3 linked regions of the Arabidopsis thaliana genome follow. The protein of the gene in region 3 interacts with the protein of the main gene of each other region in a pairwise test. Each region holds a gene or a part of one and is shown on either strand. Other genes may lie near its edges.

Evidence for each region. The genes of interacting proteins can lie anywhere in the genome.
Region 1: the proteins of AT5G03545 (region 3) and PHF1 interact in a protein complementation assay, tested with the Arabidopsis thaliana proteins (one large-scale study listed by BioGRID).
Region 2: the proteins of AT5G03545 (region 3) and BIL4 interact in a protein complementation assay, tested with the Arabidopsis thaliana proteins (one large-scale study listed by BioGRID).

Annotation. Positions count from the first base shown.
Region 1 is NC_003074.8:19,353,266-19,359,359, forward strand, and holds PHF1 (phosphate transporter traffic facilitator1), read right to left. Parts: upstream 3,997-6,094; 5' UTR 3,646-3,996; coding exon 3,454-3,645; intron 3,198-3,453; coding exon 3,097-3,197; intron 2,612-3,096; coding exon 2,479-2,611; intron 2,399-2,478; coding exon 2,307-2,398; intron 2,111-2,306; coding exon 2,011-2,110; intron 1,795-2,010; coding exon 1,722-1,794; intron 1,637-1,721; coding exon 1,516-1,636; intron 1,428-1,515; coding exon 1,308-1,427; intron 1,212-1,307; coding exon 1,141-1,211; intron 1,046-1,140; coding exon 852-1,045; 3' UTR 602-851; downstream 1-601. Other genes in the region: SEX4 (dual specificity protein phosphatase (DsPTP1) family protein), read right to left, coding at 1-62, 169-194. UniProt on the Arabidopsis thaliana protein: Involved in Pi uptake by facilitating the trafficking of PHT1-1/PHT1;1 from the endoplasmic reticulum to the plasma membrane.
Region 2 is NC_003074.8:23,387,117-23,390,967, forward strand, and holds BIL4 (Bax inhibitor-1 family protein), read right to left. Parts: upstream 1,923-3,851; 5' UTR 1,767-1,922; coding exon 1,526-1,766; intron 1,449-1,525; coding exon 1,335-1,448; intron 1,264-1,334; coding exon 1,106-1,263; intron 1,029-1,105; coding exon 822-1,028; 3' UTR 602-821; downstream 1-601. Other genes in the region: FKD1 (FORKED 1), read left to right, coding at 60-167, 280-509; AT3G63320 (Protein phosphatase 2C family protein), read right to left, coding at 2,722-3,115, 3,215-3,476, 3,581-3,722, 3,803-3,851.
Region 3 is NC_003076.8:892,505-896,077, reverse strand, and holds AT5G03545 (expressed in response to phosphate starvation protein), read right to left. Parts: upstream 1,497-3,573; 5' UTR 1,032-1,496; coding exon 819-1,031; 3' UTR 561-818; downstream 1-560. Other genes in the region: AT5G03550 (MATH domain/coiled-coil protein), read left to right, coding at 1-265; EXO70A1 (exocyst subunit exo70 family protein A1), read right to left, coding at 2,162-2,279, 2,378-2,524, 2,617-2,717, 2,807-2,906, 3,008-3,208, 3,327-3,532.

The DNA of each region.
Region 1 (6,094 bases), on a different chromosome or scaffold from region 3:
AAGAAGAAGAAGAATGATCTCTTTGAATGCACCCGAATCCCAGCAGAGGTGAGACTGAACATCTGAAATAAATGACGATCAAAGACATCAACAACACACAAATTCATATCGAATCAAAGAACCACACAAATCAACAACATTTGCTAATTTCGGAAAGCAAGAAGATACCTGGGAAGATTCTGAAGACAATTCATCTTTAGAGAGAGACAGAGAGTGTAGAAAAATATCAGAGGAAGCAAACGAAGCTGCTACTTTCTCAGTCCCAAGTTCGACGATAGATAAAAAATCTGGTAATTATAATAATTTTCAATTCATGTCCAAAAATGTTTGTGAGTGTGACTCTGACGGTCACGCGACTCACGACGATACAATTGGGACCCCACGGTCTGCACCGGGAATGCAATCACTTTTGTTTGTTACGTAAAGTGGAACACATTACTAGAAAAAGTCTCCAACTTTCCACAATAACAAAAACACCCTCTTCACAAAACTAATATCTGCTGCCACATCAGCACCGTCAATATTGAATTGGGTTATTCTGTCTAATTATTTTTGTTAGAGGTTACTTCATGAAGATAAAAAGTGAGAGGTTCTATTTTTATATTTCTCAAGAGCTAATGGGACCACTCATATGACGCCATCACGTCTCTTATTGTTACAAAAGATCTTCTCTGCAATTTTAATAATATTTTCAGCACAAGTAATTAGCAACAGTAATTGTCTGTAAATAAATCAATTAATCAACAGGTATTTGTCAGAGCAAAATCAGAAGAAAGGAAAAAAACAAAAAAAAACGCTGCAACAAGATAAGGAAGAAAGAAGAAAAAGCAGAGGAAAGTTACATAATCTTTCTATAGGTCCAAGTTCCACCTACTATGATCCTCAGAAGGCGTGGAGGAGGAACCTCCAAATAGACTAATCTTTGGTCTTTTTTGATCTTTTCCCATTGGTAACTTCCAAAACGAATCTGAGTTCTCGAAGAATACGTATGCAGCTATCACTGATGCCATGAACAAGCAAAACAGCAGTGCATATATCTGCCACTCTGCACATCAAACAAATAGATAATAGTGAGAAACAAATGTATAAACCCCAAATATGTGCCATTCATATTTTCAGAGAAAGAGATTAGCAACAAACCTTTCCACTCCTTTGGTACAGTGAGTTTGGTCACCATCTCTCCCCATTCGCTAGAAGTTGTCAGCATAACCCTAGAAAGAACCAATTAGATAAAGATCAACATTAGAAACAATGCGGAGACATAAGGGTTTTGATTTATCATTATCCTTTCAATTGCTTCCCCATACCTTTCACTGGGGCAGAACTCAAGTGAAGCAATGGATTGACCAAGATGCAGCCTCTTACTGTAGTGGTAGATTTCCATTGTCTTAACTTCAGCAACAGATACATCTCCATCTTTCCCACCCCTACAAAAATAGGTGCAAAGTATGAGGTTTTATGTACAATCACACAAGCCTGATAGTGATAAGCAGCCCGGGATGAAGAAAGACTCACAAAGCAATATATTTCCCGTCCAAGCTCACTGCCATTGTCGATGCAGTCTTCCTTGACAGCTTCTTGAACCCAAGCTTCTTCCATGTACTAATGTCATAAACATTGACCATAGGCGTATCACCTGATTCCAATAGTTTAAGCTTTCATATGATGTTTTTAATTTGAAATACTAGTGATGTTACTCGAGAGTCGGATATATTATATACCTCTTTGAGCAGCACAAAACAAAAAAGGTTTTGTTCCGTCTTTAGAGAAACGGCACAGTTCAATATTTTCATCCTGCAGACATGACAATATCAGAATCAGTCAGGATATATCAGAAGCCAATATAGGAAACACGACAGAGACAAAATCGAGACCGAGAAATCTCAGAACTATATTTATTGGAAAAGATCATAGACATGGAAACTCATCCTTCATACAAATTTCACTGGATCTTATTAGTTTAGAAATATAGGAATGCTAATGCAAACTTTAACTCTCACAATCACATACCCCACTACGTTCCAAAGTAGACAAAGGAAAACCATCTTCTGCTTTCCATATTCTAGCTGATCCATCAGTTGATGTTGTAGCTAAGAACTCTGAGTCAAGACTACAAAAAAATATACAAATATGAGAAAGATGCACACAATGGGTTTCGTTTCACAATCTCCATTAATTACTATTTGTGTTGTATAACCCAATTCTCAGCTCTATACAGAAGACCATTTTTTACTACCTCAATTACAGTTTTGCATTACAAATAATATAAAAGGGGGGATGGTGGTTGAGAAGATTCCAGTATTTACCTAAAATCCATGTCCCGGATGGATTTGTGTGCCTTTGGCTCATCCAAAATTACACTTAGGTTTGGCCACTCCATAATTCTAAGACATCCATCCTGAAAATAACTTGTAGTAAGCTACAACTAAATTGTCGCAACAGTGAAAGAAAAAAATCCCTTATATTGCAGTTCCTTACCACTCCCCCAACAGCTAATTTAGACCCATCAAAGCTGAAGGCCATACACTTTTGTAGTCCAGCATTTTGGAGAGGAAGGAGTTCTTTGGCTAAGATCGTAATACCTGTTGCTCCTCCGACAAGCTCAAATAACCTGAAAACCAAATAAAGTTTTAATTACCATCTAGACCGTAAAACAAAATTTGTATAGACAATGGGGTAGACAGTGTCCAAAAATGGTTGAAGACAACTCCTCGTATCCATGAAATAAGTGGAATAGTAGAGTTGCTAAAGATGAATGCAAGAAAGGGAAGTCAAAATATTATGAAAGAGACCAATTATAAAAGGCATCGGCAATCTCCAACAAAAGTATAGGCATATATAAAATAAACCAAACCTTAAACACAAGAAATTCAAGCCTCACTACAATTAATTCTACATCAGCAAACATGGGAGGTGGGAGATCGTCTGATGTAATGAGAGAAGTAATGTAAAGTTCTAGTAATCTGATATCTAGTTCTCATCATAGGTTTAACAATACCAACTCAACAAATTTAGAAACATAGTATCAGAGGAAGGAACTGTAGGATGTCTAGTAATCATAAGTTTTGGGTGGTAAAAGCAGAGATAGAAACGTACTTGCAACCACCTTTGGAGGTTGAGCAAACAAAGTAATCCCCACCAGGGTGCACTGAAACAGCCACAGGATCACCATCACTATCCTTAAGCGTGTGTGTTGCCTTTGGTCAAAGAAAAAAGAGAAAAAAGGTTGGTTTTTTTATTTCATTAGTCCACAGAAGTAAACACCAAAAGAAAGGGGCTTTGCTCTGCTTTCTCAGAATCAGAAGAAAACAACTTGAAGAACCCTAGATTTATTGCATGATTCAGAAGAACCCAAGTTTCGCAATCCAAAGAACTATAGTAGATTTCACCCTAAACCCAATAAGATTTCGAAGCTCTCGATTGAAAAATTCAAAAGGTGTAAGAAAAATTTACCAAAGGAGAGGAGGAAAGAGAAGCAGTAATGGGGTCAAAAGAGAAGATGTTGAGGAGAGCAGGAGAAGAAACAGATGAGCCACGGCGTTTGGAAGCTTTAGCGATAAGAACCCAGTTTACTTTCTTCGGGCGACGAATCCATGATCCGCACACAACATGTCCACTTTCACGACTCGCTTCTTCAATCTCCATTCGTTGTTGGATTGATTGTTATTAATTTCCTCTTTGGTCTCTCCCTAATTTGGATCCTTAATATATATATAGACAGAAAATTGTTTTTTTTTGTGTGTGTGTGTAGTTGTTGTTCCAGAGTAGAGAAGAGGAAAACAGAAAGTAAAACAAAAACCAAAAAGGAGTTGACTTTGGAAATTGGACAGAGAGATTTTGTTGAGTTATTATATAATGGGATTGAAAAATCTCAGATTTAACAAACGGACATTTGCGGTGGTGGGAAAGGATATTCCTTAAGATCCATGTTCCGATGCCGAATTTAATACAAACAAGTTAGGTCACATCGTGCTTCCGTAATCTATAGCAGACTTTCCCATTGGTGTCAATCTCGTTGTTTAAAAAAAAAAGTAATATTAGAAAAGATTGAACGTAATCTGAATATTAAGAAAAAGGATAAATATGAAAAGATATGATGTAAATATGTAATCGATGCATACTCTTAATTATGCAATGTAATTCTTTTTTTGTGACATTAATACATTATATATCCTTTATCTTATAAAACACAAGTCACTTGGCAAATCATGTTTTGACATGTGGCAAATTTATCAAAAACAAAATCCACAATGTAAAACAAAAATGAATTTTTCGACAAAACTCAAAATAAAATTAAATGTGAAAACAGTGTACAAAATTAAAACATTATCGTCAATTTTCCCACGATCACTCTCAAAAGAAAATAAAAATCAACCCACATATTCTCCATACTCCCACAATTTCTTTTTCTTCTATTCAAACTATGTAACTCTTTTTTTTCAATTAAAACATTCAAACTAACTATTGGGAAACAAAGACAGATACGATCTCAAACCTATATATACAAATCTCGGTATCATCTTTCTATTGTTGATATTGGTTTTTAAAAGAAGGTTGAGAGTAAAATCATTTAGGAGCGAGACCTTCTTTGTAACAAGAGTCTTCAATCTCTAATCAGTTCATATAAGGCAATATGGCCAGCGTATGTTATATTTCTTTTATTTTATTGATTGCGTTTAGATGAGTATATTAATGCTTTCTGTTTTTGAATTATCTTTTATTATGTATGTTTAATATCTTTTTGCTTCATAGATCAACCACTAAAAATAAACAAGCAAACTTGATCGATAGAGGATAAAACACAAACAAAGTAGAAGACTTGAGCAAGAAAAACACCAATGGCAAAGTAGTAGGAGGTTGAAGACGAAGTAGAAGTGTACAACATTAAGACATAAATGATATCATCTATGTATTGAGTCAACTTCACTCTGGTAACTTTTTTTTGTCTATGACTATAATCTATGTTTGTATTGAGTCTTTGAATACCATATGTAATTTTTTATTTTATAGCTTTTGTATGTATTCTAGAAAGCATTGAAGTTGGAAGCTAATTCTCTATATTTGGAAGACTAATAATTTTGTGATATCAACTTCAATTCTCCATTATATATCAAATTATCATCTGAAAAAATAAAATCCACAAATACATGAAACGATATATTTTTCCCTACACGATTATATACTAATCTATTTATAAAATTAATTTTTCATGTATAAATATCGATAATATGTAACATATCATAACATTTAAATTCAAAAAAAGAATGTATCATAACATTAATTTTCGGTGCTATGCACCGGGTATAATACTAGTTACAAATAAAGTATAAAAGGAATTAAACTTTTATATAGATAATTAACACAAACAAAATATTAGAGACGATTTCAAATAAATTATGAGGATATAGATGAGAAAAATACTATATAGAATAACAATAGTAAGAAATTAAAAATAAATAAATCAATTTGTACATATAAATTAGAAAGAAAAATATAGATAAATAATTAAACAATATTAATAGTATCACATAGGTCAATTAAAATTTTATATACAATAGTTAAAGAGTATTATATCTCAAAACTAAGTTTTGATACTGCGTAGAACAAATCATGTTTCAAGCAAAAATGATCAAATTCCTATGATGCTGGAAATGCTTGACGATCCACATGAGACTGGCTATGTGCATGTATGGAGAAAAACGTGTTGTTCGACAACGCGTGCATGCCTTCTTCCACCTAAGTGACGACGCATCACAAAAAGTTATCTAGTAGTGTTAATAGTTCATGTTCCATCTGCCGAAATTACACACAATATAACGTATTCGATTATTTGTTATCCAACAACTTAAACGATTCGACCAACTCACTCAACCTTTTGTCACTAGTTCCAGTCATATATTTCTTATAAATACTCGTTCACTACATCTGTACAGATCGAAAGAATCTCTTGATATATTACAACACACCCATAATTCATAAAGACTAGCTCATATACCTTTGATATATGAGATTTGATCTATATGTCGTTCTCCTTAACTAGATATCGCTAATTGGGCTTGCATTCAACAAGCAACATATATCGCTTATTACATTC
Region 2 (3,851 bases), on a different chromosome or scaffold from region 3:
TAAATGATTTGTAAGCCAAGTAAAAAGCAAGGGTCGCTGACCTTGAATTTTGAAAGCAGGTGAACTCCACTGGAAGATTGTCTCTGTCTACATCAACAAAGCAGGCCAAGCTGTGCTGAAAATGAAAAGTAAACACGTTGGAGGGACCTTCACAAAGAAGAAGAAACGTAGGTTCTTCTCAGCACAAACATTTCATCTCTTACACTAGCCTGGCTTTTAAAGTAAAGCTAGATAGATAATACAAGTCATAATAGTCTTTGATTTGGACTTGTGTTGCAGATATGGTGCTTGAAGTGAGAAAGGATATACCTGCATGGGCTGGCAGAGATCTTTTCAACGGAGACAAGCATCACTACTTTGGCTTAAAGACAGAAACAAAGAGGGTCATTGAATTTGAGTGCAGAAACCAAAGGGAATACGAGATATGGACTCAGGGCGTATCCAGGCTACTTGCCATTGCTGCTGAGAAGAAGCAGAAAAGTTCCATGTCCAAATGGATGGCACCTTAACAACATAAGCTAGGAAAGAAGTAGATGCTTTGTAGAACGAACTGCTTATGATAAGAATAGGTTTAAACATAATGGAGTAGAAGACATTCCCTTTTGTAATATCCTTTTATTCAATTGAGTGAACAGAGATGACTTCTAAAGCTAACAACAACCTTCACAAGTACAAATGTATTGGATTCTCCTATCATGTTACAAGCAGTGATCAACATTTCTTTACAACCCAAATTTCCTTTTGCAGACAAAAGAATTTGAACATATGAACTAGATAACAATGGCACAGTCTTAAGAGCAATCTGAAAGAGACAAGACTGCCTAACTATCAACAGCCCTTAAGAGAGTGAGGAGAGATAGGAAGAGATTAATGACATCCAAATAAAGAGAAACAGCAGCCCAGATGTACTCGTCATAGGAGTGCCTCTTGATCAAGTTGTCGGTATCATATACAATGTAGCCACAGAAGATGATGGATGCCAAACAACCATAGATCATCACAGAGATCTTTCCTAAAGGGAAGAGAATCTGCAGCAATAAAGATAGTATTTAAGCTCTTATTGTGGAAGAAGAGAACATTGAAGCCTTGTGAGCGATATTGATACCTGGATGAAGGAAAACACCATGAGGACAATGACAGCACCGAACAAGAAAGGTCCGAGGAAGTTGAAGTCATGGCCTCTTTTGGCCGCCCAGAAAGTGTATAGAGTGAGGGATATGACCACAACAGCGGTCAAAATCACAGATTCCAGAATCACCTTCCCTGTAATCAAACAAAACACGTTAGGGAAAGAATAAGGAGAAAACAGAATCGTTCAACTGGATCATACATACCGCTTGTAAAGGCGCAGGTCAAGCCAACCGCAAAGGCAAGAGCGACGGTGAAAATCCCGAGTAACAGATAGTTCACAGGGTGCTTCTGGTGATAGTAATACAAAGGACACATAACTGCACACACACAAAAACGAGAAAGCAGATCAAAGAGCCGGAGATGATGGAGAGATAGAATCCAAGGAGTACCGTACCGATCAATGGAGTCAATATAAGAAGTATGTAGAGAGCGAAGCCGGCGGTGGTGGTGGTGAAGAATACAGAAATAGAATGAACCTTAACGACGGTGGCAGCGACGGCGATTGTAACGAGCAGCTGGATGGAGATGATGGAATAGACCTTGCGGATGAAAGACCATCGGAGCTCCGGGCTCTCCGACATCATCGGGTAGAGAGGCGTCTGAGCCGACTCCAAATCATGCTTCTGATTCCACATCTTCCGGATTCGTTTTTTTTTGTCAACGCCGGTGAGAAGTCTTCAGCAAAATGCGAATGAGATGTGAGGACGATCCCGATTCCTCCTTGAAGAAGAAGAAGAAGTAATAGACTCCGAGAGAGGCGGCCAAGAGAAGAACCTTCCCGATACGTCCCGCAATTAAATAATATAATCAGACGGCTCCGATCTTGACACCTGGAATTAAGATTATTCAGTGGGCCGGCCTCTGAAGAGGAGAAACAACGTTAATGATGCACTCATTTCTACAGCCCATTTCCATTGGATTTGATTTATTTTTCACATCATTGGTTGGATTTTGCCACAAATGATTGTGCCAATTAAAAACCATTTCAACAACTTTCTTCACATTTTTCGTCCACATATACACACCCACTTGTACTTTGAATTATTATAATTGTTCTTATACTTTGTTCCAATTTTCAATTTACAAACAAAACAATTATGGCTAGACCAAAAACTAACGAATTAGATGGTAGAAAACAGAATACACAAAAATTGGTCCTTGTTGAAAAATTAGTTGCACCTACAAGGTATGAGTTGTGATTGAATGTTAGTGCAGTATACAGAACCAGAAAGAAAAAGATAAAACATTAAACAAGATTGCAACGAGGTGATACTAGTCAGTCACTTCACTTACCAGAGAATAATGACTCGGAAGAGGCTACCAGTAAGTAAGTCACCCATATGATGCAAAGGTACCATTAAGTTTATAATAGCTGCTGTTTTCTTCTTCAACCTACAATACCAAGGTTGACTCATTTTATTATAAAGTACTTGTACACTTTCCTTGGGCATTTGTATGGTAATGTCTTGGTGGGAACATACCAATAACTCGTTAAACATGGTTGAAAGTGGTTGAGTCTGCTTCAATTGCAATGGATTAAAAGTTCCATCTGTTGAAAAACAGATATATTTAGAAATGAAAGATCACTCTTCATCCCATACGGAATAAGTTGGGTTGTGATGAGAGAAACTCACATGGCAGTGCATATGTATTCTTCATCTTGAATCCCGAAGGACCCACAGATTGCTCTTTTGGTTGGCTCTCCCAATCTAGATTGGATTTTAGAGGAACCACGACTGCAGCCATATTATCCATACTTCCCTTCTCAAAGGCAGTATTAACCAAGCAGTCTGCCAAAGATATTGAGCAATATGAAGGCACTCCTGCTCCAAAGCTAGTTTGATTCTTTACTTCCCACAGGCGATCGCATGCATCTTGCACCTCTAACTTCTCAAAGATACCATCAGATGACACTACCAAGTAGCTGTCATTAGCCACTAGAGGCTGCCAGTCCATCACCTCAGGTGCAGAGATGACACCGTAACTGAAAGAGATATCAAAACTCACATTTCAACTTCTCATAGTGTAAACCAGCTAGAATCGTGTTCCAGAGAGATTCTAGGATACAACCAGCAGTGCCAACCTTCTATAAGTAAGGTCACCAATCGAACGGGAGACAGCCAGCTGACCATTCACCCTTGGCACACCGGCCCACTTGGTGACATAACCTCCTGCAGCTTTCACTCGGAGCATTTCATCCTCTCTATCTGGGTGATGGTCCTTTGTCAATTCTTTGGCAATAAAACGCATGAGTCCAGTGCGATGTTCCAGCTTTAAATCAGAGAACCTTGATGGGGAAGAGTCTTGATTGCGCTTACGCTCTCTGTACAACTTTATTAAAGTAGCTGCAATAAGCAAACACCAAAAGAACAAAACGTTCATTCATTCCCCTATACTCTTAGTGGCTTCACAAGGTTGGTTATAGTCTAAAAAGGGATGCTGCGGGAACCTTTAGCCTCTTCAGGAGTCTCATATCTTTCAGAACACAAAAGTGCCTTAGAATCACCGATGCTAGCAACCAGTAGTTGACCATCTGCGATAAGTGCAATTGTGGCCGTTGAACCTGAATCCAACTTTCGAGTAGATGCTTCCTGCATTAAACAACAGAGTCTAATCACGCTACTGAAAAAACAACGGTCCAAATGATAGAGTAGAAGGCCATGCACCACACCTTAGTAAATGTTGCATCAATGTCGTAGATAGCTCTGAGCAAGGCTTCT
Region 3 (3,573 bases):
ATTGAGCAAAGCTTCAAAGGATATGTGTGATCTGACACAAGCCGGTTTTAACCTGGATTGGTTGCAGTCAAAGCTTGACATGGTTTCCTTGGAGAAGAAGACTTCTGAAGAACGGATTCTGGAACTCAAACTAGAGGTCAAGAAACTCGTGATGACTGCGACTGATCTCAATAGTGAGAGGAAAAAGGAGAAGAAGAAGTTGAAGAAGCAACCAAGCTGGATACACGCAACAAAAGATGGGCGACTATATTTTAATTTTTTCTAAAACACTTTAGAATAACATAATGGTTATTTAGGGTTATCTAATCTTTTTTTTTTTTTAATATTATTATTATGGATTGTTTATCTAGAAACAATAATCATGTATTATTCGGAAAAAAACATAATTAGATACCCCTACGTTTTCTGTAGTAGGTTTTCTAGTTTGTTTTACTTTATACGACTTTTTATTTAATAGCTTGTCAGACACGGTTTGATTAGGGCTCTCTTGGGTTTCTTCATAGATGCTCATATTAGAAGAATGAATGTGTTTAAATTTACCCGATTTCAATTGGCTAAAACTGGACTATTAATGGGCTAAGAATGGGCCAGCTTAAAAGTATTTTTGATAAAGGTATACACAGATTGCTAAAACAAAATTGTTTGAAGACACTCACTATTAATGAAAGGTAGAAGTGGGGTTTGATTTTAGATATCAAAACCGAATATTCTTTTATTCCTCACACACACATAGGAACACACCTGAATGGTGCATCACACGGGATAACAACAACACACATTCAACACAAACATGACGAAATTAAAGACAATAAACCAAACTAAACCGGAAACAAAGTAAACACGGAACATAAACATATAAGAGCTATAGTAATCATAATCTGCTGATTCCGAGGGGAACCGAAGCTTGCCAAAGGATCGAAGTTGCCCAAACGAGGGATAACAAAAGACACATCAAGCTTGTCTTCATCAACCTTCATGCAATCTTCATCGCTCCATTCACACACAATCCTCATCATCATCATCATCACCATATTGATAATTATGATATTGGATAATGATGATGATGATGATGATGATCATTTACACAACACCCACACACGAACATTCACAATCATAATCTCCAAGAGATCTCTTCTTCTTCTTACCTTTTGTGAGTACTCTTGTGTTTGGGGCCATCCCATAAAGAGAAACTTGAACCTCTCAAAACCCTTTATTGGTGAGATCTTCTGATAGATTCAGAGGGTTCTTGAGCTTCAGTTTCTTTAGGGGATGGCCATATTTTGTGTGTTTGGTGTTGTGCCAAAGAGAGTTTCAACAATGGATGTTGTTAGGGTTTTTATGGCTTCTCTCTTTGTCTTTGGTCATGGAGACAAATTATACAAGAGGTTGAATACACTCATTACATCGATTCAAATTATCATTTTTTTATATTATTTTGGGAAAAAAGTGGAAGGAGATGATGGAAATGGGGAAGTCCATGTAAAGATGTTGGGAGAATTTGGATCTTCTAAAAGGAATATGCCAATTACCAAACATGTGTGTTTTAAAACAACAAAACCATCTCATCACTCTTTATTTTACTAATAAATCATATTTCTTTCATTTAAGTATGCAAGTCGGTAGAGCTCTATCTGTCTTGTTCTGTTCAATAACAACTGATTAATCACCTAAAATCCATTAAGAAAATAACAGAATTGATCCGCATGACAATCTTGTCCCCAAGCTTAGTTCAGCTGTTCGGACAAATATTATTGGCTCGATCTTTAGTACCAAAGCTCGTCTCAAAGCAATTGTCAATCATATCAACTTATAACTTAGCTCCTTCACTGCATATTTTTTTTTATAAATTACGCCTAGGATTTTGATTTCCGATTAATTTCATTCTAAGAAAAAAGATTTCATATCCTTGTGAGTTGAGATTAGACTTATTAGGCCATGGTTATTTCAAAACGTTTAACGTATACAAAAGGAAACAACTCTGTCTCCAAGTAATTTACACATTCTCATTCCAACCAAAGAATAGTAGAATACAAAAAACGAAAAGTTGACACTGCATATACAATAGCAACGAACCTAGTTATGTAAGGTAAGCCAAAAAAAAGAAGAGTTTGATAGAAATTTACCTTACACAATTAGTTTTCATCATCTTTTAGTTGTTTTTTTACCGGCGTGGTTCATTCATAGACTTTCCTTCAAACAACTCACCCAACAATCTTTCAAGATCTTCAGCTGTATACTTTATGTATTTCTGAGGATTCTTCCCACTCTCAACCAAAGGCCTGCATCGATCATAGGTTAAAATCTCATTTAGGTTTTTTTACATTTCAATCAAATATTAGAAAAGCCTTCGCAGTAAAGAGAGAAAGGAGATTTTTACCCAAAGCGTTTGAGGAATGATCTATAAGCAGGCAATAATACTTCAGCAACAGCAAGTCTTAGTGACTCTCTTAACTCTGTGTCTGGAACTGTCCATTGCGATTGTCTCTGATGCAACTCATCAAACTGCATATTGAACATCTTGAACCTGTTCCATTTTTTTTTTACAGATTTATCATCATTACCAAATATATAAACATTTGCCAATTACTGTGTTTATTTTACATGTTTAGGACTTACCTCTCTTTTAATAATCCTCTTGAAACTCCACTGCTGTTTCCTCCCTCTAAACTTCCTCCCCCAGATGAGGTCAAACCTTGCGCCGATGAGCTTTGTAGTATCTACAAAATATGTAACAGTTTCTTAGTAACAATTTAATGAAATTTTATATAATAGTGTTTCTTTACAGAGTTAGACAAATAGACAGAACCTTTGTCCAGGCAACTCTTTTGTATTGGTTTGCATGTTGCTGCACGATACGCCTATGTCTTTGAACCCAATCATCGCCTAACAAATCCTTGGCTTCTGACCTGAAAAATTATCATATGAATAAAGCTAAATGAGTGCGTTCTTTTATTTTTTTAATAAAACCAGATCAGCCTTTAAAGTTTAAACGAGAAAAATAATATACCTGCGCACAGATCTGACCATGTAATGAATGTTGTTCATCAGGAACAAGTGTGTCAATGCAGGATCTTTGTACTGTTTCGATTTTCCGTCCAAGTTGTTTTGAAGCGCCTGCATTATCCGCATCGTTACGGATGCTAGCTGCGAATTTGAGTCATCTCCATTTCCAAATTCCAAGAAAAGTTGCTTCAATGTTGTTTGGTAGCTGACACCAATGATCATCAATTAAAGCGTGGAAAGGGACAATACGCAAATAGCAGTATGGAGAAGAACAATACGCAAATAGTTCGAGGAAATAAGTTGAGTATATATGATGTACTTACTCGAATAAAAACTTGACATAATTGATGACATAGCTTGTTAGTGGGTGGACAGTTCCATCTAGAACAGCAGTCTTTGTAGCATCTTTCTCAACAGCTTCTTCAAAATCACCAAATGTTTCCTGAGCAGTTTGCGCCAACCGCTTTGTCAAGCCCGTCGCAGAATCTCTAATTTCGAGGCATGCTTTCCCTTTGAAAATTGTCTCAATCTGTCCATGGACACAAATTTCATGAGATTGTACCATCTAAT